Coturnix japonica: one gene and its partners. The protein of the gene in region 1 interacts with the protein of each later gene in a pairwise test. Links are inferred from orthologs where the notes say so. Each region holds a gene or a part of one and is shown in the gene's direction. Other genes may lie near its edges. The genes, in order: USP20, TRIM23, VAPB and BEND7.

Evidence for each region.
Region 2: the proteins of USP20 (region 1) and TRIM23 interact in binary tests that used the Homo sapiens proteins (3 or more experiments, as listed by UniProt). The link is inferred for Coturnix japonica from reciprocal best matches to the Homo sapiens genes USP20 and TRIM23.
Region 3: the proteins of USP20 (region 1) and VAPB interact in binary tests that used the Homo sapiens proteins (3 or more experiments, as listed by UniProt). The two-hybrid records come from large-scale screens. The link is inferred for Coturnix japonica from reciprocal best matches to the Homo sapiens genes USP20 and VAPB.
Region 4: the proteins of USP20 (region 1) and BEND7 interact in binary tests that used the Homo sapiens proteins (3 or more experiments, as listed by UniProt). The two-hybrid records come from large-scale screens. The link is inferred for Coturnix japonica from reciprocal best matches to the Homo sapiens genes USP20 and BEND7.

What each region holds. Positions count from the first base shown.
Region 1 is NC_029532.1:4,317,767-4,325,363, forward strand, and holds the start of USP20 (ubiquitin carboxyl-terminal hydrolase 20), read left to right. Parts: upstream 1-2,478; 5' UTR 2,479-2,606; intron 2,607-3,425; 5' UTR 3,426-3,521; intron 3,522-3,665; 5' UTR 3,666-3,688; coding exon 3,689-3,769; intron 3,770-4,109; coding exon 4,110-4,163; intron 4,164-4,661; coding exon 4,662-4,724; intron 4,725-4,866; coding exon 4,867-4,980; intron 4,981-5,550; coding exon 5,551-5,647; intron 5,648-5,831; coding exon 5,832-5,901; intron 5,902-6,463; coding exon 6,464-6,577; intron 6,578-7,383; coding exon 7,384-7,462; intron 7,463-7,597. Other genes in the region: C17H9orf78 (telomere length and silencing protein 1 homolog), read right to left, coding at 330-407, 589-659, 853-904, 2,075-2,134, 2,317-2,396.
Region 2 is NC_029547.1:14,367,646-14,374,494, forward strand, and holds the end of TRIM23 (E3 ubiquitin-protein ligase TRIM23), read left to right. Parts: intron 1-44; coding exon 45-155; intron 156-1,581; coding exon 1,582-1,706; intron 1,707-2,038; coding exon 2,039-2,218; 3' UTR 2,219-5,169; downstream 5,170-6,849. Other genes in the region: PPWD1 (peptidylprolyl isomerase domain and WD repeat-containing protein 1), read right to left, coding at 6,206-6,349.
Region 3 is NC_029535.1:10,121,920-10,129,459, reverse strand, and holds the start of VAPB (vesicle-associated membrane protein-associated protein B/C), read left to right. Parts: upstream 1-2,860; 5' UTR 2,861-2,985; coding exon 2,986-3,043; intron 3,044-7,540. UniProt on the Homo sapiens protein: Endoplasmic reticulum (ER)-anchored protein that mediates the formation of contact sites between the ER and endosomes via interaction with FFAT motif-containing proteins such as STARD3 or WDR44.
Region 4 is NC_029516.1:6,095,866-6,103,497, reverse strand, and holds the start of BEND7 (BEN domain-containing protein 7), read left to right. Parts: upstream 1-3,217; 5' UTR 3,218-3,490; coding exon 3,491-3,551; intron 3,552-6,287; exon of another isoform or gene 6,288-6,373; intron 6,374-7,280; coding exon 7,281-7,364; intron 7,365-7,632.

The sequences.
Region 1 (7,597 bases):
AGAGAGAGAAATGAATCCAAAAGCAGTCAGCTAACATCAAGAACATAAAACAAGATATCTGCAGCTCTGATCAAGGTCTCCCAAGCTCTTCCATAACCCATCAAGGAAGGCTGCTGCTGGAATTTAATACCATTGTACTGGCTGGTTGACTGGCATCTCCCAACTCTGTGCATGAAAATGCCTTCTCAAGTCTAGCAGCCAGAAGGTGAAAAAGCAGGTGAGAATCAAGAAGTTGTTCTGAGACATTCAGTATCCAAAATAATACAGATAAACTGAGAGGACACCCAGCCCAGAGTTCAGCATCACAGACAACACGCAGCTCAACTCACATGTCAGCATCCTCATCCCGTCTGTTGGTTTCAGCTGAGAAGGAAGTTCCCAAGTTCAGATCTTCCTCTTCATTAATCCTAAATGAAAACCACACCGTTGCAGTTGTTTTTTGTTGAACTAATTTGACAAGCTAAGGTAGCAGCAGCCAGTGGAAGTGCAATATATTACATTCTTCAAAGCAGTACAATTTTTGGTTAATTTATTGCTAGCTGGGACTTCTAGTCCAGGGAAAGACCTTCAGAGCTCATAAGCACCCACCTGTCCTTGCCTCGTTCTTTCAGTTTCTTCATGTCCACCATCCCCCCAGATTTTATCTTAAATGGGTCATCCTGTAATGCAAGATAAAATACAAAACCCTGAAGCTTCCCTTTAGTTTAAGGCTAGTCTTCCAAATCTGGATAAAAACGGACAAAAAGCATTAGGCTGCGAGAAGCAGAATCCTACAGCCATCAATTGGATCACACCAACGTTTACACATCATTACATCTTAGCAATAAAGTGACAAAAGTATCAAGCACTTACCACAAGTGTCGCTTCTTCTTGCAACTTCTCTCCCACAAGCAGAGCTACAGCACTGGTTAGCCATAAAGAAAGAGACAAAAGGAAGGAAATAGAAGGAAACGTGTTACCAACAATGCTGTCTTTCTTTATCCTTCCCTAGATCAAGCAGCAGGTCTCAAACACTTGTATTAATACTAAGCTGCCATTTTTCCTTGTCCTTCCCTATGGGTAGACGAACTATCAACGTCTTGGGAAGATGAGAAGTTCAGGCAGAGAGATTTTAGTGCTTTACAGTGAATCAGCAAAGGAACAAAGCTGGTTGTTGGCGCCCATTTCAACTACTGCATCAGCTGATCAGTGATGCTATATGAAAGAGAAGGAAATCAGAGAGAAGATATAAAAGGGCCCCCGATAAACCTACTGCTCTGCTACGTGAACCGAACAGAAGCAATCTAACTAAATACATCCCATGACCAATTCCAATCTTAGTCTATTTTTCCATAGTTAGGATACAGCACAGACTCTGCAGGCTGGCAGTGCTTTCCTGCACCTGACTCACCATTCACACCAATGTTTTCCTGCACTCACAGAATCACAGAATGACCCGGGTTGGAAGGGACCTCAAGGATCATGTAGTTCCAACCCCCCTGCCTGGCAGGGCCACCAAACATACACCTTTACTAGATCAGGTTGCCCAGGGCCCCGTCCAACCTGGTCTTGAACACCTCCAAGGACGGGGCATCCACAACCTCCCTGGGCAGCCTGTTCCAGGGCCGAACCACTCTCCTAGTAAAGAACTTCCCCCTAACATCCAACCTAAATCTTCCCTCTTTTAACTTAAAACCATTTCCCCTTGTCCTGCTATTGTCAGCCCTTTCCAAGAGTTTACTCCCCTCCTGGGAGTAAGTTCCCTTCAGGTACTGAAAGGCTGCAATGAGGTCACCCCGCAACCTTCTCTTCTCCAGGCTGAACAAACCCAACTCCCTCAGCCTGTCCTCATAGGGGAGGTGCTCCAGCCCCCTGATCATCTTCCTGTCCCTCCTCTGGACCCTTTCCAAAATCTCCATGTCTTTCTTGTACTGAGGGCTCCACACCTGGACAAACTCACCATTCACACCATCTTCAGGCTTAGACACAAACTCCTCTACTCCCTTTGGCACAGGGAGAACATGGAGCTACTTCTCCATAAAGCAGATGGGTGCTATTACATGACAATACCAGATAGAACCTTCACAGCCCTTACCTCACCCCATTGGGTCTCTTCCTCAGGCTCTGCACTTCTTTGGCTTCCTCGAGCTTTAACCTGCAGAAAGAAACCCAAACCGCTGCCCTCAGTACTCAGTGCCTCTATTTGCTTTAATTCACTTTAATTCCTGCAGTTAAACACCAAATCTACGCTGGTTTTGCACATCAATACCTGAACCACATGGCTCCTGCGTTTCCCTCAGCTGAGGGAGGCACACAGCCCCCATCCCCTGCGCTCACCTGACCTCCTCAGCCAGCTGCTCATCCTCCTCATCCTCCTCGCTCTCCTCCCTCCGCCGTCTGAACGCCCTGGCAGCCATTTTTCACCCCCCTCCCTCCTCTCTCTCTTCTTACGACGCCATATGATGACGTCTATTCTCCGTTCCGACGCCGTACCGCAGCCTGGCAGGCCGCACCGGGCGCTGTGGGCCGCCCCGCCCCGCCCCGGTTCTACCCGGTGCCTGCGGCTCCGTTGGGCCCCAGCACCGCCTCCCATCCAGCCCTACACACCGCAGGGTCGGGCCCAGCAGGTGAGAATGGGACGGGGGGGAACGTTCAGCCTGGGGTGGGTTATCCCCGGTAAAAACGCTGGTCACGGCTTGTCCGGCTCCGTGCTGCCCGTAGGCCCCACCGAGTAACGGGGGATTCGTTGTGTAACGCCGGGTTTGATGAGCGATGCTTGGGAGCCCCGCGGGCTGCAGGCGGTGAGGAATGAGCTGAACGATTCTTGAATGAGCCCCGTTGTTGCTGGGAGCTGAAAGTGACGTTTTTCGGTTTATTTCGCAAAGGAAAAGGCCGGGAGGGACCGGCAGCATCGCGGTGTTGGGCTGGGAACGGGGCTGTGTGATCTAATGCCGTGGGATCTAATACAGGCTCAGGTGGGGGGAGCTGAAGAGGTCCCCGATTTCGTTTAAAAACAAGGGTTTATTTGATTTTTCTGGGTGAGGAAATGGAGAGAGATGGAAGAGCAGACGTGGCACTGATAGGTGGGATTTAGAGCTGGTTGTGCTGATGTGTTTGGAGAAAAAGACTCTATTCTGATGCACTCACAGAGCCTGAAAGTGTCCCACTTTTATGCGTCAGTCACTGTGCTCTTATTGCTTGTCTTCTAAATCCCTGTTACGTGGCAGCCTTTCCCTTCTCTGTGCAGCTCCTGAGCTTTCTCAGTGCTGTTAAGCAGCTCATCCCAGGTGCTGCCTGCAGTCACTGCTGTGTTTGCAGTGCAGGGATGTGATCCCTTCTTCCAGGTCTGCTTTGTTCCTTCAGTCCAGGATGGCTGCACAGACCCTGTTATAAGACTATCTGTGGGGTTTGTAAGCACACAGCTGTGAAATCCTCTGTGCTTTCAGTGCTGGGCTGTGTGAGCGGCGCAGAACAGCTCCATGCATTCATTGAGAGTTGTTCAAAATCCACCTATTGAATGAGCAGTTCCTGAAACACTGAAGGTGGGTTATCAGTTAAAGGTCTTCTAAGCCCAGTTCCCTCTTGTGGAGCTTCATTTAAACAGCAGTCATGGTTTTAATGCCCATAGACACCAGTATGGTGGGCTGCTGACTGTAACCAAACAGAACTGCCTTTTCTTGTCCTAGGAAATCACCTTCCTGCAGTGACAATGGGGGATACGAGAGACATCTGCCCTCACCTGGATTCCATAGGAGAGGTGACCAGAGATGATCTGCTGCTCAAATCCAAGGTACGGGGTGTTCTGGTTACCAACCCCTTCTCTATTTGCTGTACAGAAGAGGCAGAAACTCTTTTTTCCACCCTTGTTGTACCTTGCACGTGGCCCATCAATAAGCCTTTGTCAGTCCCATCTGGTGCATTTCGCACTGACGTTTTATCCTGCTCAAACACGCCACTTATCTAACACACACTGCAAAGCGTGGCATTGGAAGCATGGATTTAAGCAGTGCATTGAGCTGCAGGCGGGGGAGGCCTGTCGCATTGAGAAGTTTCTCACTGCTGAAGGATGGGGTTACTTAAAAGACAGACATGCAAACAAAGCTTATTTTTTTATCATTGTGAATACACAGGGAACTTGCCAGTCATGTGGAGCTGTGGGACCAAACCTCTGGGCTTGTCTTCAGGTAAGAACAGCTTGATGTTCGTGTGCATGACACGGTGGGATTTCTGTTCAGTGTATACAAAGAACTGTATTGGACCAAACAAGAAGGGATGGATGCAAATATGGGTGAACACAATAGAAATATCCGCTGCAAGGGGAAGCTGCAAGAGTGAGAGCTCTGAAGATGGTGTTTGGGGCAGAATGGAGTGACAGAGGGTGTGTGGGTGGGCAGGGGCAGTTTGATTTGACATTGGAGTGCCTGGACATTTAGTCTGGTCAGATGAACCTGTTGGAGCAGTTGTCTTGGAATGAGGACTTACGTGGGTGCAAACTGATTTCAGGTTTTCTCTGTTAAATTAACCAATTCCAGTCATCTGCCTTATTCTAAGCCCTGCAAAGAAAAACAGTTGAGTGGCAAGATCAGTTCTGAAGCTGCAGCTGTAGGTGGGGTTGGGGCTGCAGACTGTTTTGTGAAGGGTTTCATTTGGTGTGCCATTGTAGTTTTGCTTTCTCTCACTAGATCGGGTGTCCTTATGTTGGCTGCGGGGAGTCCTTTTCTGACCATAGCACCCTTCATGCACAGGTAAGCTTTTCATTATGGTCCATCTAAAGACAGAGAGAGCTGAGTTATTCCTGTTACCTAATCCTCTTATGCCTGAATTTAGTCGTTCTGCACTTCAAGTTGTCCCACCATTCAAATCATTACTTCACCTTTTTATTTCTAGGCCAAAAAGCACAACCTGACAGTGAATCTGACCACGTTTCGGGTCTGGTGTTATGCCTGTGAGAAGGAGGTGTTCCTGGACCAGCGGCTGGCGGCGCACACGCAGTCACCCTCGGTAAAGTTGAGTGAAGCAGTGGGTGTGTGTCAGCCTGGCAGGGCTCAATGCTTGGCAGGCTTTTTATTTCCTTGTTGCAAAATTAGCTAAGAAGTTGCTCAGGCTGCTATTGTGGTAGGAACTCTTCCAACTGAAGGTGGCTGCCTGTGGTCAGAGGACCAATAGCTTTGCTTTATAGACTCTCCATGCAGGAAGGCTTCCAACGACTCGAATATCCATTTTGATGTTTTTCTTTAACCTCTCCTGGCTTCTTATATGGGCCATCTGGTTCTGGTAGGAGCCACAACAGCTGTGATATCTTCATTTCAAATAAAAAATCAGCTGTCAGACTTCAAACGTGTCTACTTGTGACACTGCATGTTCCCAGTGCCTCTTCCATTATTAACACTGGAAGCAGTAGTGGTGCCATTTCCATTCTCTATATGCATTACTGAGAAGGGTAGGCAGTACAACTGGTTCTTCTGAGTGTGCCATTTTAAAGGCTGGCTGAGTTTACACCTAAGATACTTCTCGCAGCTCGTCTTTTGAAGGAGGACTCTTGCTGATGGTTATTTTCTGTCTTTAATCTAGGATTCTCCATTGCCTGCTCACCCTCTGAAAGCTGTTCCAATTGCAGTGGCTGATGAAGGTGAATCCGAATCAGAGGACGATGACTTGAAACCAAGAGGTAACTGCATGTAGTTGATGGAAGAGCTGTGAGGGTGACTCTGCAATCTGTAGGACCTGCACTGAGAGGGTCCTAGCAGCAGAGTGCAGAGCCCAGAAAGGGTCACATTATCTTCCCATTGGGAACGAATGTAGAAAGCAGCACTTCTGGAAAGTGTTTCATGCTTCTCTTGTTTGTGCTTTAGGCCTTACTGGAATGAAAAATCTTGGGAACTCCTGCTACATGAATGCAGCACTTCAGGCTCTCTCTAACTGGTAGGCATTAGGGCCTTTAGTAGAGTCTTTTACTACGTATCAGCAGTAGCACCTCTGATCTGACACCTTCCTTAGTCGTGCAAGGATAAACCAGCCAGGCTAGCTGCAGAAAAAGGAATATGAACAATGTAGTATTTAGGAAAACAGAAGTTCTGCAGTAGGAAAATGGGTGAATAGCCAACTCTGTGGCTGTGTGTGAGACTTGTCTCTAGATGAATGCTGGAAGTAAAACTCCACCATGACAGAAGCATGTTTGCCATGTGAGAAAACATGCAATCTTTCTGTTTTCCACAGTGGTATCGTTCTAACAACTCACACTGTAAGATCTTCATTAGCCATTCTGCTGACAGCTGGTTTCAGGATCTCTGTGCTGGGAATTGATTCAGATCAGCCTTCTTTGTTCATTTCTAGGCAGAAATCAAGTCTGCATCTAGAATCGCTTCTCCCCTTGACTTAAAAACAAGCATGCTTTCAAAAAGGGATGCATTTAAGCTTTGATCAGTCTTTCAATAGAGGCAGAGGAGCAATTTCTGTGCTCTGAATCCTTGTTGTTGTCTTGCAGCCCACCTCTCACACAGTTTTTCCTGGAATGTGGTGGCCTGGTCCGTACGGATAAAAAACCAGCACTATGCAAAAGTTACCAGAAGTTGGTGTCTGAGGTTTGGCATAAGAAACGGTGAGTTGTCACACTATTCTCACGTGTATAGATTTTGTATTTACATTAGTTCTGAAATATGTTATCAGCAAAAAGAAATGGTGCCTTCAGGGATAGATGCATTCCCTTATCTGTGATAGAGATCTGACACTGAGCTTATACCAGAAGATGAAAAACACAAGTGACTTGTTGAGAAATGTTTTCTATTGGTTCAAACTATAGACTGGTGTAACACAATGTAAAATAGCTCAGCTCTATTGAAATTTAAAGATATTAGTTGCAGAGAACAGATAAATTGGGGAAAAAATCAAGCCAGGAATCTGAGTGGCAACGTGTGTTTGCTTTGTGTTAGTCACTAATAAGGGATAAGCAAGATGCAGAGCAGCTCTGTGTGTTTATGCAGCAGGCTGAAGCACTATTACATCAATTTCATATTGGTTTTGACTTGCTTCAGTACTGGTTGGTCCCTCACCAGCCCACCTGTCAAACATGCTGCTGCAAAATCAAACCACGTAACCCACTGCCAAACCCTGCTCTGGGGAGAATCACTTGAGACAGTTCCAGGTGTGGACAGAGCTTCAAGTTAAAGCATGCTCTAGGGAAGGTTCTCTCTGGAAGGAGAGAGTGAAATGACTGTGAGAAGTTTTCTCTCTCTTGGTTTCTCTATCAGCTCGGTGATGTATAAATTAAGTTCAGGCTTTGCAGGTGCATAATTATCTTGGGTCCTCCTTAACCAGTTACCACACCCTGTTCTGTTCCTTATTACACAGGCTCCAGGCCTGATAAGCAAATTAACTTTTGTTGTTTTTTCCTCCATACCTAAACAGGCCGAGTTATGTCGTTCCAAGCAGCCTGTCTCATGGAATTAAACTCGTCAACCCCATGTTCCGAGGCTATGCACAGCAGGTGGGGCCTCAGTGAAAATTCAACATCATTCCAAAGATGGTGGTTTTCCCTTCCTGCAGCAGTTCTGCTTTGTGATCAGGGAGAGGAGTTAGAACTGGGCTGTCACACTTGTTCTACGTTGGCCTTAGTGATCTG
Region 2 (6,849 bases), on another chromosome or scaffold:
TCATGTAGAACAAGATTATAAAACTTGAATATTTTTTAATTTAGGTTTTAATGTTGAAACAGTAGAATACAAGAATCTGAAGTTTACTATTTGGGACGTTGGAGGAAAACACAAGTTGAGGCCCTTGTGGAAGCATTATTACCTCAATACCCAAGGTGAGACTAATAGAACTTCTAAACCACGTTTTGTCTTTTAACTTATATGTCAGAACCAAAAAGATTATTAGTAGAGTATTTAACTGTTAAAAAACAGTTTGTCTAGTGCAAAATTCAGCTGCTAGATTCATGAGCTAAATATTTTAATCCAGTTGTTTATTGTGACAGGGGTGCATTCTGCATTAACCCATCAGACAGTTCATGGAGCCAAACAGAATTAGAATCTAAGGTTTTGTCTGACAACAGGCAAGGTGCAGTGTTCCAAAGTTTGCATAGTGAGAAATTGTGCTTGCCAGATACAGACTTTAAATAGCACTAAAAATGAAAATGCTTGGTCTTTAGGAGCATCTAGTTTCTCTTGCAAGAGCTGAACATTAACACAATGCATGTGTATTATTAGATTGGATTTTAATATATATAGCATCTTTAGGAGCATCAGTTTTTTAAAGTAAACTTTAAAAAATTCTACAGTTTTATAACTTCTTCCTTGGTATCATGGGCTTCAGATTATAGATTTCAGAATTAAGCAGTTTATTAGTAAACCTCATTATAAGTATTGCTGACTTGGAAATTAATGTTATCCTTCTGTAAGTGCTCAACAATTATTTTCCAATTTAGAAACGGGTTTCTCTTCACAAATTTGCTGGAAATTGCCTGAAATACTTAGGAGTGACAAGCATTGATTTTTAAGTGTTTTGTTGTGTGTATTACTTAGCTTTTATTACCAACTTCAGCGCTTTCAATCCCCTCATCTTTACAGACTTGGAGACATTTAACTCTGGGTTTCTGTTGTCCTGTTGGTGCATATCTGCAGTAGGTTTTGTTTGATTTTGGATGTTTTATGTATTTATTTTATTAAAATAGAACAAGCTTAAATTCTGTCCTTTAGCTCTGCCTCTGAACTCTCCAGTTTTCAGGCACTGTCATTACCCTCTGATGTACTGTAAAACTTTCTGCTGATGTGTTGGGTCTAAGGAGATCATCTCTATTATGTGTAGTCCATAGCTCAGGAAAGCAGTACTCATTTGACTTTAGAGTTTTTATTGCTAACTAGGGCAGATTGAAACACTTTTGTGGGAGTCAGTTGAAATGAATCAAAAATAGTTTGAATGGAGATGCTCAATCCTCACAACTTAAATCAGGTTTTAAACCAAAACAGTTAAAACGTCAGACTTTGTTAGACTAGACTAAAAACTGCAGAGTTTTTCTTTGTTTTAAGATGAATTGCAGATTTTTTTTTATGACGTATATTGGCATATATTGTATTTCTCAGTCTTCCTGGTCTTGAAAGTGAAGTTGTTTGCTGCTGAGAGATTTGGCATAGAGGACTTCTAGGGAAAAAAAAAAAAAAAGTTGTAGGTTTCAGCTGACTTTTTGCATACATTTGTATACAAAGTGTAATGTTTGTTTTATTTCTCTTTTATAGCAGTGGTGTTTGTTGTTGATAGTAGTCACAGAGACAGAGTCAGTGAAGCACACAGTGAACTTGCAAAGTTATTAACAGAGAAGGAGTTGCGGGATGCCTTGCTCTTGATCTTTGCTAATAAACAGGTACTTGTGATTTTTATTTATTTTTTCACTCTTCAGTTTATGAAATTCAAACTTTCTGAATCCTTTTCTGTAGAAAGGGAATGCTTATGTGAGAAGGAAAAAATGTACGTGTTCTCCTTATGTTTAATTTTTGGAAAATAAACGATACTGGTGTACTTACTAGATTCAATAGGCAGTTTTTGTTTTCTTATACTTTATAGAAAACTTGTAACTGTTCGACTTTCATGTCTGGAAAGCTTTCATGTGATCCATAACCTCAGTCTGAGCCATCAGTGAAAAGTCCTTCAAACATAGCTCAGAAGAGTAATTGAGTCTGTCTGGTTCTGTTGCAGGACGTAGCAGGTGCACTTTCAGCGGAAGAAATTACAGAACTGTTGAGTCTCCACAAACTCTGCTGTGGCCGTAACTGGTATATCCAGGGCTGTGATGCTCGAAGTGGTACAGGACTTTTTGAAGGACTAGACTGGCTGTCAAGGCAGTTAGTGGCTGCTGGTGTCCTGGATGTGGCTTAATTTCAGAACAGATGTTTGTAGGTTACTGTTTTGTTTTGTTTGCATGATTTAGGATTTTGTAACCAAGTCTGCTGTCTGAAGAGGGGACAGCTCTGCGGTTACAGAAAAATGTAAGAGTTCATGCAAGATTGGATAATTGTTTCAGTAAGCTTGTGCAGTTAGTCTTTTTGAAACTTGGTATGTGTACAAGTAGTTAAATGGGCTAGTTAAATGAGTGCCTTGAAATTCTTTTTGGTGGAATTAGCTTGTTAAGATTTTAAATTCTTATGAAATACGTTATAATTTATGTAATAACCATAACAAGGTTACGGTAGTTAGTTGATGTCAGAAAAATTCTGAGTGATTCAGAAATGCTTTCCCAAGAAACTACTCCAAAATTCATAGCAAGCTATTAGAATAGCCAGCTCTGGTTGTGAGCCAGAAACAGATGATGCTTCTCTTAGAACTAAGAAAGGCATTCATCTGAAGCTTGTGTTGAAAATTACACACAGGTATAATGCTAATGGTAAATGTGTCCTGCATTATTTATTAGCTTCCTTGTTGCTTATTGTAAGGAAGCACAACAGGGCAGAGAAAACTGAGAGTGGGGAACAGTGTCGTAGAACGATGCAGCCAGGTGGCATTGTTTAGCTGGCTATTTCCAAGGGGATTTTTTTTAGTGCTTTTTTGTAAGTCTACACATTATAAATTATTTATGGATAGAACAAAGTGATATTACATTGAAAATGTATTGTCAATGCTTGAGGATGTAATCTGCCTTCAGAGATTAATTTTATTCCTCAAGAAGTCAAGTGAAGTTTAGAAAAAAAATGACAAAACTCACACCTTTTTAAAGAAGTGTGGTGTAATATCGGTCCATCTGTGTCCTCTTATGTAGAAGTCAAGCCTCCAGAATAAGGTAGTGGCCTTTACTTACTAGGTAGTGTGATGTAAAAAGTGTTCACTAATTACAGCCTTTACAAGATCAGATGGCAAAATATGATGGAAAATTTCTGTATTTAGATGAATTCTTACTCCGTGTTCCACATTCAGCTGTGTCTTCATTTTCAGCAGTCAGTCCTTCATAAGCTCATGAAATGCAGGTGTGACACTTTAAATTTAGAGAAGGTTGTGATCATTAAGAGGCATCTTCCTTATCTGCAACACATACAATTCAGATAACAGTTTTTTTTCTGACTGATATCCATTGAAGAATCTCCTGACCTCCTCTTCTAATACGCAGTCACTGCTGGTTGAAGAAACCAGCACATGACTCTCTTCATCTCAGTAGGAGAGATAGAAAGAACAAAGCCAATAGATCAAAACAGGATAGTGTCACTTCTCTTGCTGCAATTGAGGTGAATAGGAGGAACCAGGTGGTAGAAGTGATCAGCCTTGTTTCACAGATAGGTAGGAGGAATTTTCTGTCGTAGTAAAAAACACACTGACCAGTGAACCTCACCCGGTAGAGAAAATATATTTCACAATCTATGACTATGGCTTTCTTGATATTATAGCAGCTTAATGATCTTTTCCCACTACGTACCTTAGGTAAAAACCAAGAATGTATAAATAAATAATAAAGTATGCTTGCACTTTTCTTTGAGAGGAAGCAGTTAAAGCAGCTACTTCCACATAATGACATTTGTTCTTAGTTTTCTCATTTCTTGTATCTCATGTAAATAACATGAATTGTAGCTTCAGATTAAGCAGGTCAAATGACTTGGAATGGTAGCTGAAAGAACACTAAGCTTTAAAATAGTAGAAATTTCTTAAAAGGGCTTCAGTGCCTGTATAGGTACTGAGAAGGGGTAATAACTCTTCCTGCAGATAACCTTATAAATCTAGAAATAGTTTACAATGGGCGGAAGGATGCTTTTCCAGCACCAAGCTGAAAATGGTTCTCCTTTGCAGCCTGTAAGTTCTTGCACGGTATGCTGCTGGCTGCTCTCGACTTCGGCATCTGCTCAGCCTGCAGAGCAGTTTCAGGTCTAGTTAGTGCTGACTGTCCCTTCATAGCTCTTATTCAAGTACGAACAAGTTCTGCTAAGTGTGGTAGGTACCTTTCTCTGGAATACGGGGAAGACATCTGTTATTTAGAAAAACTTGAACCTGTACTTTTGTTATAGTGGGCATATGCCGGTTTTACATTCCCCTTGAACTGTGATTCTAAATCACTGCTTTAAGATGTTCAAAGTTTGTGAGTTGTGTTCTTATTTGTTGTTTTGGTTTTTTTAAGTGTATATTTGAGGGCACAGGAAAAGTACTTGTACATCTTTTTGAGCACAAAAGATTGCTTGCTTGTGATGTGTGGAATACTACCATAAAGTGTTTTTTAGTGGAATTTATTTAAGATGACTTCAAGTAACTGTGAAGGTATTGCATTTGTCTGTGAACTCTTGAGTGTAAACTGGTGCACTAAGAGGTTTGTCTGTATTATAAGTTAATAAATACTATATATAAACTGCTTCTGTTACAAATTTAAGCTTGTTTCACCAGTTCTCTAGAACTTGAGTTTCAGTGTACTGACTTGCGCAATGGAGGATTCCCTCAACTAGAACTTACTCAAGCATTTCTATGAGGATTATTTGAAAAGACTGATTAACACTTTGTGGGGATATTGAGTTATTTGTGAAATTAAGCGAATGCAACATCCAGTGACAATGTTGTGGCTTTCTTTAAAGACTCTTGGCTCAGTAACAGTGTGCTTAGGATAACTGGAAAAACTGTGGTTTGTCCCATCACATGACGTGGTGATACCGTATGCATCTTCAAACTTATTGTGCTTTGTGTGGTACGTGAGGGTTTCCTTCTGAGACAGTTTAATTTCTGAACTGTTGGATGTTACCTAATGACTTTTGAAGAGAAAGGGCTCTGTTAATGGAAATAATTAATGAGCTGCTGCAGACTGAGTTGCCCAGAAAAAAAAGTAGTGATATTTTTTTTCAATAAAGTTATCTAAAACTTCTGGAGATCTAGTTTTCTTTTAATAATAGGAGTGCACTAGAAAGACAACAGATTTATTAGGTAACATTTCATATACTGTGAAATTCTCATCTAATTCCTCAGAATACCCTTCTGTGCCAGTTTCCCTCCCTGGGATAGCAGTTTCCAAAGGCTCTGAATTTGATTAGCGTGCATTACATCACTGTTAATTGTTTAAAAAACAAACAACCAAAACCTATCACAGTCATAAGCTCCTGAATCTTGTGGTCTTAGGTGGACATCAACAGTCAAAAATAACACTACAGTATCTTAGAGTACAGGATTGTATTTAGCCACAGGTTCACAACAGCTGGATGTGAGTAACCATGTCAGTTAAGTATTTTAATAAAAGTTGTAGTGTTTGTCTGATTTGGGGGTAAAAATCAAGCCAGCAACAGCATGCCTGGGCTAAAATAATGAGAAATGAAACATTAAAAAAACACAAGAAAATCATACTGGCAATGCCAGTACTTGTGCAGGACTTAATACACTGTTACTGCGTGATTTGATCCCTTGTTCATTTAGTCTAATGGACAGGGACACGTACACAACTGTCTTGGAAGATAAGGTAAATTACATATGTGATCCTAGCACAGCCTGATCACATTCTGATTACATTATCTTACAGTCTGATTTTTGATAATTTGATAATTTTTGATGTGTGTGTATACTGTTGAAGAGCTTATGACTAGCCATCTGACCTCTATCTGACAGAAATAAAGGTACAGACTGTACTCAGATCATGTTCTAAAGCTGTTATCATGAACCATGGTGTGTGTTTGAATCTTCAGTCTTGCACAGAAGAGACAAAGAAGAACAGTAGACTTTGTAAGAAAGAGGCCAATGTTTTTATTTTAAAAAGGAAAATTTACCAAGAAATACAGGCTTAGGGCACTTTAGGTACATGAAAAATAGTTTCTACATCCAGGAATCATCAAAAAAGTTTTTATTCCTTCTGTGTTCTTTCCTGGGTCCCACAGCGACGACATTCTTCTGTTTAAGCTGGAACCTTCACCACCTGACTTACTTCACTGTGATGTTAATGATGCTGATATCCTCATAGGGTTTATCAGTTTTGGGGTTGACTTTAACATTAGAGATTCTCTGAACAACTTCCATTCCTTTAGTCACCCGTCCAAACACGCTGTGTTTGTTGTCTAGCCAAGGCTGTTTGAAGATACAGCAGAAGACAGAAAAAGCAGATTAAAATAGAAAGCAGCATGTAGGTTAGATACCAAATGAGTGACCTAGAGTAAGTGAGAATGAGTATATATTGAACACTACTGATTTTACACTTCTGTAAGTAACTGTAAAACAGCTGTTAGAACAAGCAACTGTTAGCAGTGCAGCTAATCATACTGACTTATCTTTTAAATTACCTTCCCAAACTGCTACAGACATCAAGTTCTAGTAATGAGCAACATTTTATTGTTTAAATTCATTTCACTGAAATGCACATTTACTTCATGGTAGTTTCACAACTGAATTTAAGTGCTAGACTAGAATACTACCTAATTTAAAGTCATACAAAATGCCTAATTAGCAACTGGAATATAGACAATGACGTGATTTAATGACCTTCAAAATTAAGGTAGACGGGAACTTCCTAAGAAGGCACATGACTGAGGAACAAAATTTCACTCAGTGCTGTGTTAAGGTATTAATTT
Region 3 (7,540 bases), on another chromosome or scaffold:
CTGCAGGCCACACACAGCCTTGTCAGCTTGTGCGAGGCCTGACAGATTCTAATGGGATCAAGTTATTTAATACATTGCGTTTAGCTTAGACTGCATCAAAAGCTGAATTCTTGACTGCTTAGACCAGGTTTCTGTCAATCAGAATGTGAAGTGCTTTTAATATCTGCACAGTGTTCTGGGGGGCTGCTGTGCTTAAAAGGGTTCTGTTCTGATTTGCTGCTTGCTTGCTTCCTCTTTTTCTTTGTGGTTGCTTTAAGCTGCTTTTGTTATGTACAGCACAGAAATATGGGCTTGCCTAGAGTTATCTCCCTTGTCTTGTTTGGTGATTAAAAGATGTAGTTTTATTGTTTCAATGTGTGATGCAATGTAACATGTTGACAGCAGCCTTCAAAGGCATAAGCCCCCCAGAATCCTGCTCCTAAAACTGCTCCTTCACCTGAAATACCTGTATCCTGGTTTTCATTTAATGTGGATAGAGACTTCCATAGAATTTAAAGTAAAAGAGAAGTGTTCTTTAAAACCGCTGCTGTCCAAAGCTTCCTTAGTGCCTTTCAGAGTTCCCCAGTGGCATTCATCCCAATCTGCCCCTTCTGTTAATCAGAAATGCATGTTGGCAACGTGTGCCTTCCAGCCTTGGAGTGGCTGATCTGTTAATGAGATGAAGGTTGTTTTGTTAACTGACAACGGTGCGGCATTGCAGGTGATTTTGTGACACGGATCCATTTCAGTTACTCTGGTCTGAACGATACTGACTGTGTGCACATTTACATACAACCAGAAAACTACTTTCATTAGACTTGCTAAGTTGTCCACTTTGCATAAAAAACCTGCTGTGTTCTATATGTGTTTCAGCATGGATGAACACAGGGGAGTCCTCGCTATCCAAGCAGGTAAGTTCAGAGCTGCTCAGTGCAATCTGCTCTTATAAGGTGCTCCAGCCTGGCGTAGCCTTTAGCATCCAACACTGAAGGCTGTACTTTATATTGTCAGAAAAAGCAGAACGTGGAAGGGTGCAGGCAGCAATGCTGAGCTGTTGTTTGCTTTGGGGACTTTTATTACGTATGACTGTACGTTGTATAAGGTTTCCTCTGTCTTATTTCTCATTACGTTCCAATTAACTTGCATATATATATATATAAAGCTTATCTCTTTCTACCAATTACTTGGGATGTTTATGGACAGCTGTGTTTTATAGCGCAGGGAGAGAATCTGTTTATAAAAGTAAAACAATCAAAGAGATGACATGGAAGAGGATCATGTTTCCAGAATATCAGCCAAGAAAAAACTCTACTCCAAAATGTGAGTGAACTGAATCACTTCTTAATTTGAGGTCTAATAAAATCTTATGACATAATCTGTAGTTTATAGTATAAATTAGACTCCTCAAAATAACAAAAATAATAAGGACGTCCTGGGCTCCAAATCTAATAAAGTAGAATAGCACAGATATATAAAAAAAACCCCTAACCAACTCACATATGTGATGTTGTGACCACTTTTTCTCCAACACAGAGAAGGAAGTTATGGTAGAGCAGCAGTTATGGATATTTAAGCATGTTGCTACCTAACAACTCCTGCCGTATTTATTGGCTAGAAAGTGTTACCAAGTTTCATTTGCATGATGTAAAATGAAGTTGTACTAAATACATACGGGGGGTTATTTTGGTGTGGAATGAAAGTAGTTGCAACAACCACAAAGGATGAAACGTGTTTGTAGGTGACACTGGGTGAAAAACAAGGATTCTCATGGACAAGAGCAGCTGAAGTGTTGATGTGGTATAAATACTGCAGACATACTGTGCAGGCTTCCTTACAGCACTGAATGTCATCGTCCCATTTAGTGGTGTTAATTTTAACGTGTCCATCAGTCATTTGCATTGCCAGCAGTGCCGACGGCCCTTTTATTCCAGTTCTTTTTAACCATTTTTTGTCTTTTTTTTTTTGGCAAACAATTAGGAAACCATTAACTTGTATTGAAGCAATCAGGTTTTAGGACCTTAAAGCCGTGGTCCTGCTCCGTCTGGTGTGTTACAGAAACAGATTATGGATTCTTATGAACTTCTGGAATGTTGAAGAGGAGTGGGTCTGGAGGACGTAAGCTGCTGTACTGCCCTGGCCTGAGGCCACCAATAAAGCAGTATTTCATTTCAGACCAACCTGTACATTTAAGTTATTTTATAGAGTGTTTTCTAGCGTTTACTCTTGGAGAGCCTTAAACCCACTGCGCTGACTTTAATGATGCTTTTATTCATGACCAAGGTAGCGTTTCCTAGCGCTTGATGCCAGTTTCCCAGTCCCGTTCCGCTCCTGCCCTGCACTCACGCCCTCGTTCCCTTCGGCTCTCATTGCGTGCACAGCCGCTCTCTGACGCTGCGGGTCGGGCGCTGCTCGGCCCGTCGTTGTTCTTTCCCTTATCGTGGAGGAGCGCTCGGGAGCAGCTGAGTCACTGGCGGCCCCGCAGCGCTGCTCGGACATTGCCACGCCCGGGGGTCCGAACAGAACCGGGTGCTAAAGCGGCACCAGCACCTCCATGATAACTGAACCGCGTGGGTTATTCCTGCCCTGCCCTCACCCCGTCCGGCTGCACCCAGCTCCCATCCCTGCTCCCCTCCGTCCCCTCCGCCCGCCCCAGCGCAGCGGGAGCCGCCCCCATCCCCGCGGCGGTTCACGCTCCATCCGCAGCCCGTCCCCGCTCCGCGCTGCGCCATCCCCGCCCCGCTCCGCCCCGCCTCCTCCTCCCTCGTTCCCAGCCCAGCCCGGTGCTCGCTGCCCGCCGTCCTCGACCAGCCCGGCCCGGCTCCGCTCCGCCGCCCGCAGCGCCGCTCCCTTCACCGCTGCGGGGGGGTGAGCGCACCGCCCTGCCCGCCCTCCTTTCCTCCCTCCCCCCTTTCCTTCCTTCCTTCCTTCCTTCCCCTCCCTCCCTCCCTCCCCGGCCCTTCCTCTCTCCGCCTGGTGCCGCCACCGCCGAGGAGGAGGAGGAGGAACATGGCGAAAGCGGAGCAGGTCCTCAGCCTGGAACCGCAGCACGAGCTCAAATTCAAAGGTAACGCGGATCCGCCCGTCCTACGCCGCTGCCCCGCTCCGGCCCCGCGGATCGGCCGCTCTCAGGCCCCGCTCGGCGGCAGCCATTTTCCGGGGGCCGGGGCTGGGCGACGCCGCGAAAATGTCCTTCATCGCCGCGGCCTCAACCGCATCCCCGGGCGGGGCCGGGGGAAGAGAAGAGGCGGCTCCCAGCTCGGGATCCCCGCCGCCACGGGCCTCTCTGTGCCCCCGCACCCACCCCGCGCTGCGGGCGGTGCTGCGTGGCCCGGCCCGATGGGGACAGCGCGGGGTGGGGGCAGGCGGCCGCCGCCCGCAGGTCCCGGCTCCCGGCTGTTCCCGGCTCACGGCATCACGGCCCCGCTCGCTCTTCCCCCGTGCTGACCTTCCCCGCAGGGCGAGGCCCCGGGCCGGGCCTCGAAGGAGCGGGAAGGCGGGGGAGAAGGGAACCGCGGGCGTCGGGAGGGGCCTCGGCCTGCGCGGAGGTGTGGTGGGACGGGAAGGTTGGGCGGCTGACGTAGCGCGGAGCCGCTGCCCGCTGAGATCCGGCCCCGAGGCGCTGCGGGACGCGGAGCTGTCAGTGCGGGGCTGGGGCCGCTCCATGCGGGAAACACGGCTGTGTGCTTTGTGCTCAGCGCCTCGTAACACCCCATGAGGTGTGTGCACTGTGCGCCGTCTGACTGCGCAGAACTCGGGGTTTTTTGTTAAATAAAGGTTTTGAATGGGGTTGAGTTACTGCTGGCATTGAAATGCCAAGGTTGTAACCTGACAGATAGTGCTGCTGTAATACAACGCTCGGGGATTACCAGGAAGCATTCGGCAAGTTTATTTATGCTCCCGGAGTCAGAGGTACTCACGGCTTCATACGAATACCTGGCCACGAGCCTTTATTTAAAAATAGTGATTTATTTGCTGGCGCCGGGTTAAACTGCTCATTATCTGCAAGGCTTTCGTGTAATGCTTTACACTTAGGGGAAGCCTCTACCCGGTTTTAGCAATAAACACATCAGGACTAATAGTGCAGAGTGGGCTTATCAAAAAAGCCTGGTAATAAATGCTGTCTGGAATGAACGTGTCCTTGTGGTAAGCTGTAGTGTTTGCATGTTGTTATGGCAGCAGAATCAAACATGCTTAAGAAGTAAACTGTTGTTCCAATATTGTTTATGCTAAGGGCTGATTTTCATCTTGTTCTGGATGCAAGTAACGTTACTTCCAACCAGAAGAAAGATCCAAACTCGGGTGGGCAAAACGTGTGTCCTGAGTTGGTGCTGACCAGTGGTGAGATTGTGGCTGTGGTTTGAGGCTGTGCTTTACAGGCAGGTACAGAATCAGGCTGGCTGCTTATTGGGGTAGTGCTGCTGGGTCTGCCATCAGGAGCCACTGGTGTTAAATCCACCAGCCACGGAGCTTTTCTGTGTCCAACCTTCGGCCAGCAACATATATTCCTTGTAATGTAAAACACAGCTTGACTAGCTGCAAGTAGCAAATGGCTTAGTTTTAATGCGTGCTTAAATATTAATGTTCAGATAGGCTTAATGCTGCGGATAGCCTTCATCTGCCTGGGCCATAAATTCTGCCCTACAGTCCTTCCTGACAGGAGTGCTGACCGCTGCCCTTCATTCAGGAAGGCCCCGTTTGAAGCTTTCACCAAGTAACGTCTGCCCTAAGCAGTCCCCGTCGTGCAGTTTGCGATGGCATATTGCCTGGCACTGTGGCAGCTGTGATTTTCTCACCTTTGTAAATAGCGGTGTTTATTTGCAGAGCATCGCTCTGCATGGAGCGAGTTGATGCATGACAGACGGCGGCGGTGCTGCCGTGCATGGAAAACTCAGGGCAGCGGTGTTGGTGAGGTGAGACCATAGGCTGGGTACCACAGCACCAGGAGTGGGGAGCAGCCTTGGTCATAATGCAGTGGGATGGATAAAGCAGACTGTTAGCAGCTCTGTTGTTACAGCATGATTCTTGAATCTTAAGCTGAAGAGGGAGGTGTGACATTGACAGTAGGATGTAGGAATAAGATCCCAAAGTGAAGGTTTGTTCTATGTGTCCCAATGCAGGACTGCAGCAGTCTCTGTCAGCCAGCGCTTGCAATTAAAGGATTTGAAGATGTTTATTAGGAGTCTTCTGTAGCCCTTCATTTGCAGCAATTCCTCTAAGCGTGCTTGGAGCTCTCTTTCACAACACCGCCTTTGTGTCTTTTTGCAGAGGAGATATTTGTGCCAGAACGCTTTTTTTGTAGCATGTGAACATGAACAGGGGTTGTCTTTCCTCCCCACCTCCTCCTCCTACACCATCACACGTGTGCTCCAAAATAGCACGGCCGTGTGCTGTAGCACAGTGACAGGCTGCAGGATGTGCCCCTCCTGGTACTGGGGCTCTGCTCCTCGCTGTGCTCTTTGATGCTGGTAGCTCTGACTTCCTCTGGTTGGTCAGCACAGTTCTGCAGCCTGGGTGAGAAAAGCACGAGGCTGTTGTTCAGGCTTTAGTGGTAATGAGCGATGAAAAGGACCATATTTGTTCCATATGTACGTTTCCTTTTCTGTTAATCTAGGACTAAAGAGCATCCAATGACCTGCTTGAGGATGGTAAGTTAGATTGCAGTGGTCAGGGGCCTGGCTGAAGGTACTGCCTGCAAGCTCAGGTAGGGCTGTGCAGCTCTGGTGCCTTCTGTGAAGCACATTGATAAAACCGCTCCTTGCAGTGCCATGTCTCTGCTGTATGACGCTGCCTTGTTCCTGGTGAAGCACATCCATCCTCTGGCGGCATGGGCCCACCTGGAGGAGATTTAATTCCAGCAAGTACAATACTGTTAGATTATAACTCATTTTACAACATGCCTGGATCTTTAGCTGCTTGAATGCTGCGTTCTCTGCAGCTCAGTGTCATGATGGAGGTTGGCAGAGGGCTCTCACCCCTGAGGTTGCTCCCTGCACACACAGGGGGCTTCGCTCCAGGTGAGCCGGGACTAATGACTCAGCACTCACTGTTGCATTGCTCCCCAAGTGGCAAGTAGCAGTACTGCCAGGATAAATTATCCCTTGCTTGCCAGCATAAATTATTGCCTGTTGGAAATGCTGTTTCCCGTTTCCAGCGTGTGATTTTTCCACCTGCATGCGTGCGATACATCTCTGTGTGACTGTGCGGAAAAGGCCACAACAATAGAGCAGGACGGGCAGAGCTCCCCATGAAGCTGCAGGCCTGGTGATGCTGCTTCCCCTCCAGGGAGGGCTGTGCTGGGCCCTGGGGCCTTCCTGCAGTGCTGGTTGCAGCCTGCATGGCACAGACCAGTGGCTGCTGTACTGCAGGAGAGTTGGAGCTCCATGTGCATCTGTACGCTGTAGCCAGGTCTGTGCATGGCAGAGCGGGTGTGCAGACCTCCTGTGGGACAGATTGTGGAATCATAGAATGGCCCGGGTTGAAAAGGACCACAGTGATCATCTAGTTTCAACCCACCTGCTATGTGCAGGGTCGCCAACCACCAGACCAGGTTACCCAGAGCCACATCCAGCCTGGCCTTGAATGCAGGTACAGAGCTGAGGCTGCTCAGCCCAGCAGTGCATGGGGGTGGTTGGCCTGATGTGCTTATGTTACAGCGGTCTCAAGGAGAGGCTCAGCACTTCATAGACACTGCAGTTGGCAGCTCCTCTGCCGCCCTGCTGCAGCCTGTGTGCGCGGGGATCTGACTGTGCTCATCCTGTGTTGGATAAATAGGGATTTCTCATCGCTGCCACCGGAACAGGCTTTGTTTATGGCTGCGAAATGCTGACAGTGTTGTGAGAAGTTGCCTCTTTAGTGTAATTAATATGCATCTTTTAAGCTGAGAATTTATGTGGTGTTTCCTTTTAACTGTTAGAGCCCTTCTGGTGTTGGCAGTGTAATGGCAGTCAGTGCTTGGGTTTCCTTGCTCTCCGAGGCTGTGCCAATGGCTGCTCTTCTGCTGGAAAACCTGCTGCCCTCTTCTCTGCCCTATTTCTAATAAAATTGCTGTTAGATCAAATAGGAGTAAGCCCTCACATCCTTCTGCATATTTGAATTTAATTACCAAGTTTTACACTTAAAAAGAGAACACAGTATTTCAGTAACAGCCCTCATAAATCTGTGTGAATCTATGTTTCATTGCTCATTTTCTAGTCACGTTTAAATATTTGCAGTTCATGTTATGCGAGCTATTACTGCAACTTTGGCAAAATTAGTAGCTTATTCTAACTATTAAGCATTCATTATAGTTGGACAGGCTTGCATCTCCCTGTATTATTCTGATTTCATATGCGTTAATTTTATAATTACTTCATCACTTTCTACAGACTCTTCACTTTAAAAGAGCAGTGCTTGGAGGGAAGGAGCTGAGGGTAAAGGCAGGAGGGGACACGTGGTGCCTGACTGATGGTGCAGCTCATTTTTGGAAAGGTGGAGTAAGTTGAGGCAGGGCTGCTTTGTGCTGCTTTAGCTGCCTGGTGCCCTGTGCATGGATGCAGGACACTGTCAAGTCCACAGGGACAGG
Region 4 (7,632 bases), on another chromosome or scaffold:
ATACGGGAAGTAAAACCTCTGATCAAGTTTTTAACAATTTTTTTCTGTATTTATATATATATATTTTTCAGCTGAAAAGCTGAAAGATCTCTTCAGAGAGCAGTACAGTTCTCCTCTGGTCTAGGATTCTTCAGTCAGTTTTGTCCTATGCAATCTCACTTTAAGAGTAATAGTCAAAGCGTTGTAACTGCACACACCTGTGCTGCAGATGAGGCTGGAATCAAAGGAATAGTTTAGGGCATCCTGATGTAAAGGATCGCTGTTGTTGTTAATACTGAAATATGACTGAATAATTATATTTGATTGGTTATTGATCTACACGTAAAATAAATTAGTAACTACGCAAAGCAGCTGATTGTCAGTACAACTAGTATCAGTCAGAATGAGGAGGGGCTATTTTGAAAGTAACAATAAAATAGTAACTAGGAAATTGCCAGGGATAATCAGGACGACTTGAAGTATGTTGCAAGACAAAGCCTTTATTTAGTTAGCTAATTTCACGGCATTTTGAAATACACATTACTCAATGGCTGATCTGATTGAGGAAACACTTTGTGACTATTCTTATGTATATGTAAAAGTGTGCTGAATTTCCCATATTTTCACCAGGAAAAACAAAGAAAATGAACTATGGTTTCTTAATATGTAATGATAATAATCCAATATCGAGACATTAAATGAAATAAAAGATGAACCCATCAGCTGACTGAACTGCTCTTTCTGGATCCAGTACGCTTTATCGTAAGTCACTTGGCTTCCACAGAGCTGGAACTACACAAAGCATCAAGGAATTAAGGCAACTTTCATCCCTGTGTTTCTCCAGCTACAATAATGGTAGAATCAACTAGATCAGGTTGCTCAGAGCCCCATCCAGTGTGATCTCGAATGTTCCCAGGGATGGAGCATCCACCATCTCTCTGGGCAACCTGTGCCAATACTTCACCATAAAAAGCTATATTGGAACGGTGGCCCATGGCAACTCAGTCTAGTTGTAGGTTACCAGCCCCAAAACACCCCCAAAAGAGGCTTGCAACTTACTGCAGATGGACACTACAGTAGCCTTTGAGTCCTTGAGGTATTTTATTTTATTACTTCATGGCTGAGCAACATTAGCAGTATAGGATGGAACAATTGTTTTGCAGTTATTGGATCCTCCTACACATTCTGTCGATAACTAGAAGGCTTTGACCTATAGTCACCTTGTCCTAGTTTCTAATTTGCTTTTATGCAAATGTGATTGCGGGATCACAGCCTTGGTATCCAATCTGGCTAAGACTTTCCTAAATGAAAACCACAAGATGGTAGCACATTCCAATGGCAAACACAGGAGAAGGCCCATCATGTGAGCTGAGCAGTAAACGAAGGCCTTATGTCCCATAAAACTCCTATTGTCCCAGTACAGATGAGAGTCAAATGCTTTAAGCCTGGTAAATAGAGTTAGCAGTTAGCAGACAGGAATCAGCAGACTGGGGGAGAAAAGAAAAAGAACAACAACTCTTTTTGTACACAAAATTCAGGCGCGGTGCTTCTTGATCTCTGATCTGACTTCACTGCGCCCGCCCAGAGATTAATTGGACCCACATCATTTAGGAAACAGCGTCTGACATCCAACTACCTTTGCTGCTTCAGCATTCACCCAAAAATATGCAATGCAGGATTTTAAATAGTACGTTAGCCCAGTTTCCTCTCACAAAGTCTTACAGAGAAGTTTAGGAAAATTCCAAAAGTAGCATATTGATTGCCTCTGGGATTTTCCACTTAGCAATTTAATAGAAAATTACACCCTTACCCAATCTGCAAGGTTTCCATAACCTCCCTCATGAATTTAATTTTCCAGAGTCTAATAAATTTTTACCATTAGGCATATTTTCTGATATTGCTTCACCATTAAGCCCATTTGCCTTTTTGGAACTGTGGATACTCTCTCCATGTGATGCTTGGACTGCACCTTCCACAGGTGAGTTCAGGTCTGTGTCTGTAAGCAGCACTACGATACAAATAATGTTATTAATTATCATTATTGTTAATATTAACTACTGTTAACATTCACATTCGTTTTCCTCTGAGCAATTTTCTAACCCTTAAGCGATGGGGTCAGTCAATACAACTGGAGCCAATAGAATTCTCCTGGGTACTCTCATTAGACCAAGAGATCGGCTTCTGCTCAAGTGTGACCATGTAGCTATCTATCACTTACTCCTCTCCTTGTCATGACACAGCCTGACTACATGTAAAACACAAGATGAAGACTGGGAGCTGTGTTTTGGTTAACGGTGTCTGGGTACTCTGTAGGCACGCTATGCTGTAAAAGCTAAAACTGCACCAGAAATGCACTTAGTGTAACGTAAGGGAAATAAGCGAGCCAGGAGTGTGGCTGGAAGCATCAGCTGGTGGATAAAGCATTAAGTTCAGCTGCGTCTGGATCATCCATATGGCTGTGGTGACCTGCTGGGTGGCACTCCTACAGAAGACTGGGACTCTTTACTATGGGATATCACGTTTAACTACTGAATGTGAAGCCTGGCTTAGAAGACAGCACTCTGCAAACAGGCACATGGTTGTGATGAGCTCGTGGGCTCCAGCCCAGCCTTGCTGCTGGGGTATTTGAACTAGATTTTGCACAGTTATGGAGCAACAACTTCAATACCACAGAGCTCACCACCACAGAGCTCAGCCCGGGCCCGGCTGGGATCGCCTCCTATCACCCCCAAAGTTCCCCTCCGGCCCTGAGCGAGCCTTGGGCCCTGGGCAGGCCCTCGGGGAGCCCCGAGGCTGCACAGGCCGCACCGAGGGCCGCCGCTCCGTCGCAGCCGGGGCCCCGAGCCCTGAGGGAGCGGCGTGGCTCGTAGGAAGCGGCGGCGGCAGAGGGAGCCAGCAGGCGGCTGAGTGCAGGGGTGTGCAGGGGCGGGCGGGAGGCGGGATGGGGGGGGGACACAAAATGGCGCTGCCCTCTCAGCCCCTCTCCCTCCGGTCACACTCCGGCCTCGGGGCCAGGCCGCCCGCGGGGCCAACAGCCTCCCCGGCCTGGCGTGAGGCGGCGGGCGGGCCGGCTGTGAGGAGGGCGGGCGGCGGCCTGCGGAAACAAGCCGGGGCCCGCTCGGTGGGGCTCGCCGCCTTTCCCCAGCAGGTGGCAGCGGGGTCCCGGTGCCGGCAGAGCCATTGCGGGCCGCGCACCCGGCGGGGGAGGCGGCGGCGCCGCTGGCCGGCATCGCCCCGGGCTCCCCCCCGCCGCCTCACCCCGCTTCCCCCTCAAAGTTTGGGGCGGCCTGGGAGGGCGGGCGGCGCCGCGGGGAGGCGGGGGGGACGGAACGAACTTGTCCCGTATCCTTTTATTTGCAGTTGAAGCCGAAAGCTCCCGGGGCCGCGTTTATTTTTGCTGATTAAAAAGACGGACCTTGGTCCTGCGGCTCCCCGCCGCGCGGCCGCCCTCCTCGCTCCCCTTTTTCCTCCCTCCTTTCTTCCTCCTCCCTCCCTCCCGCCCGCCCGCACCATGGAGTTTACGGAGAGGAAGAGAAGCAGGAAATCCCAAAGCTTTAAACTGATCAACGAAGGTAAAGTGGCGGCGGGGAGGGGGGGAGGCTTTGTGCCGTTGGTCTGTTTGTTTGTGCCTGAAGAGGACTTTTGCATAAACGGGGCCGGGTTTGGGATCGGGGTGTTATGAAATGTGCGTGCTCCTTTCCCTCCAGCTCGGCTGTGTCTCTCCCTCCTCGTATTTATTATTTAACTCTGGAATCAACTCTCCCAAGCGTTGCAGCTCTTCTTTATTTCATCGTGTTTTTTTTAACCTCCCTCCTCTCTCCCTTGTAAAATATATATATGTGTGTGTGTTCTGCGTTCCTCAAAATGAAGAAAATAACAAGAAGGAAAAAGCCACCCCCAAAAGGTGGACGTGTTTTGTTTCTTTCCAGGGTGATCTCCTACCGAATAAAGTTGGATCGCGTTTCATTGCAAATCCTCCTTTGGGAGGGGGGTGGGGGGGGGGGTTGGAGGGAAGGAAAGGTGAAATGGAGAATTAGGCGAAATAATGACACTTGGGCAGCACCGAAGCTCTTTAGTATTCAACTCCTGTGGGTTGTTGTGTGTGTGTTTTCCTCCTCTACGCACGTATTTCAAAGCGAAGCCCCACCGAGGTGTCTTTATTAAAATCCACGCTGCTAATTAATCGTCCGTGGGTGAGGAGGAATTGCTGGCATGTAACTTGTTCGCTTGGTGCCTGTTTGCTTTTTGAAAGGGGGGGGGAAATAAATAAAAGAAGACTGTTTTAAAAGGGATCCTTGGGGAAAATGTTTGGGATTCATGTCGGGAAATGAAACGCAGCTCTTTGATTCAGTCCTCTGTGAGCTTGCTTTCAAAGCTACAGCTGCTGGAAGTCATTTTAACAGGTGGACTCGCAGCCCCAGGCTTGGTGTTGGCCGGGTATGTCGAGCTGCTCCAGCTGATTGTCTCTTTTGTCCTCATTGATTTGGTGGGAGAATTCTTATTTTTCCTCTCTCTATGTATCTTTTTGCCCCCCCCTTCCCCTCTCGTGTCTTGAAGTCTTGAGCTGAAATATTTGCCAGCAATGCTGTGTGTGTCGTGCATGCCAAGTTCAGGGCAGGTGACTGCTTTGGGATAATACAGCGCTTAGGGGTGAGTGTGTGTGTGTGTGGGGGGGTGACTTTTGGTACTCGCTGAATGGGGGAGGTGAGGTCTTTAAATGAGTGTGGCAGAATCAGATGAGAAGCAGAGAAACGTGAAGGTGGAAACGAGCTCGCTTGAAATAACTGCTTTAACTCTAGTAGGGTTTGGAGCATTGCACATGCTGCTGCTCAAAATAGAAGGACAATGACTGGTCAGACTTGTCTGAAATTCATTGGAGGTTTTGTAAACATCAGCAGAGCCACCGGAGGGGGTTCATTTCTATCAGGAATAGGTTTGCTTTGTGAGCTTTCTTAGCATCAGATGTTCCGAGGCAGTTTGTGCAGGGCTGGAAAGTGAAACGTGCAGCCGAACAAAACTGAAATTGAAGCCTCGGTTTTTATTTCTCTCCTCAAAGTGCTGCAAAAAGAAGGTGTGCTCTATGGCAAATGTATTAATATTGTGCAGATTCTCAGTCCTAACAGGATTAAACATTCCTCAGTGCGTAAGGTGATCTGTTTAACTTGGTTTGAATTGGATAAATTCATTTATGGTGGTTAATTATTAGCGGTTCTTACTTTACCTGGGGTCTGCTTTTGGGTGTAGGGATTCAAATAGAAAGGCATGCTGAAAGAAAAACGCATCCTGGAGGACTGCGTTCACACTTGGAGGGTGGGGGGCATAAGCATCACGTTTTGTATGTGAGTCTGTTCTCACGTAGCCTCTTTCTATCACAGTTGATTATGAAGCTAATTATGGATAAATAGTTGTCTCTTGTAATTGGCCTTTGCCTCTTGCTGGAGTCGCTCAGTAATGTCACAGTTTAGTGTTTACTGTTGTGAAATTGATATGGATTTCACAGCGCCTGGACTGTGACACGAGGCATGAGAAGGAAACCAAAGAGAAAATGGGATGCTGGATCAGTCTGTAATGCAATCTGTTAATAACCCTGCCATCTAAGGTGCTCAGTCTGTCCCCAGAAGCTTCAGAGCACCCTATCAGTGTGGTGAGCAGATTGAGAGGGAGTGCACCTCTGGGGTGCAGAGCAGTGACTTCCAGGCTGCAGCTGTAGGGCAGAAACGGATGGTGCCCAGCTGGATGCACAGAGAGAAGTGGAGGAGAAACCACGTGTAAACTGTATGTCTGAGGTATGCAGATCTGTAAGTCATCTAATTCCGAGTTCCTATGTGCACTCTCTAGCAGAACTTGCAAAGAAGGAAATGTAAAGAAAAGCTAATGGGCTCTGAGTGCAGTCTGCATAAATTCTATACTTACAGCATTTACTTCCTCAATACTGCAGCTTGTATTTCACCTTTACCCCATACACGTCAGGCAGCCCATATACTTTTCTCCCACTTCATGGTTCAGAAAACCCCAACGCTACTTACTTGATTAACACCTCACTGCTGACTTCAGTATGTTCTTTTCACCCCCCCCCACCCCCAAAACTTGCTGACATTTCTTTCCTTTGTGGTGCTGCGTTATGCTTGATTCTGGTTTACTTACTGGGTTGTTCCTCCTCTTGAGCCATCATGACAGTCACACTGTACAAATAAACAGCGTGTAACAAAAAGAATGTTTGACTTGTTGGAGACCTTTAGAATTCTGAAGCTGATTGTTAGGTCAGAAAGGCAGGTGTGTTCCTCTTCAGAGGAGGAGCTGCTGCTGCTGCCCTTCCTTTCTCTCGTGCCTTTTAATTGAGTCCTTCAAAATGCTCTTCCAGGAGTTAATCCCTACCTGGCTTTCTGTGAGGCAGGTAAACGTAAGAACTGGTTTTCAGGGGACTAACAGAGTGTTGGGAGGGCTTCAGCTCTCCAGGAGCTTGGTGATGAGGCAGCTATTTCAAGACGCTGCATATATTGTTCAGCCTTGAGTGACTTGCCTAAGGACAAAGTGCGTGCCGGTAGCAGTGTCAGAAATAGAATCCAAGAGTTGCCCTTAGATGGTGGGTTTTTTTCCATGTAATTACAATTCTTTCTGTACACATGTGTAAACAAAGCTGTTTTTACTGCACACGTGCTGGTGATTAAAATAGAGACCCTCACAGCAAAATATTATTTCATTTGAAATACAGTTAATTTCGTGTCTATCCTGTAACACAGATTAGAATATAAGATGCTAATATATATCGTTATGCCTGTCGTAGGCGTTAGTTTCTATAAGTAAATATCCTTAAGCCTCCTTTCCTCAGAACTCAGAGGCTGTTAACATCGAGGTATGGCTGTAAGATGTGCCTGTGATGCATCTTGCTGATTTTCTCATTGAGATGAAGTTTGGAAGTTCGCTTGGCTTCTAGGAAGGTGGAGTTTTCGCCGTGGATCTGCTTTCTGTCTGTAAAGCAAGAAGCCAGATAATTGGCATCTGGTGGGATAATTTGCTGTGAAAATGAACACAGTAATTTAGGACAGGCGCAGCTATTCCCTGAAATCTGTGAAATATTTTATCTGAGCTCTCCAGTGCGAACAAAGTTATTTTGATTTTATTATTATTTTTTTTTCTAGGAGGTGCTGATACAGAGCACATTTTCTGTGGTTAATTTGATGTACGCAAGATAAACTGTAGATATATTGATAAATTATGCAGTAAAACTGTAGCAATGTGTTCAGTGTTCATTTTTTCCAGATCACTTGAGTTCTAATTTTTTTTATCGTTTTTCATTCCAGATTACCATCATGAGATATATAAGATCTCTGACTACGGCAATGATGTTAATGGGGAGACCAAAGAAACAGAACCCATTTCTTTAGGTATGTGCTTGTGTTGATTAATTTCAGAGCAACGTAGTGTAGCCATTTGCAATTAGGGAGGAAAAAAATCTCTGTGCAAGCACTGGAAGCGCCTGCCATTGTTTAATATGACGTTCTTTTCAAGACCCTTTTATTCTACGAATTGCCAATATATCCTTTATTAACGCTGCTAAAAGTTGTAATTTCAGACGTAAATGTTTATTAGTGTCTACACACAGTGCTAATTATCACTCAGTCAGAGAGCCAGATGCTGACTCTGCAGTTTTGC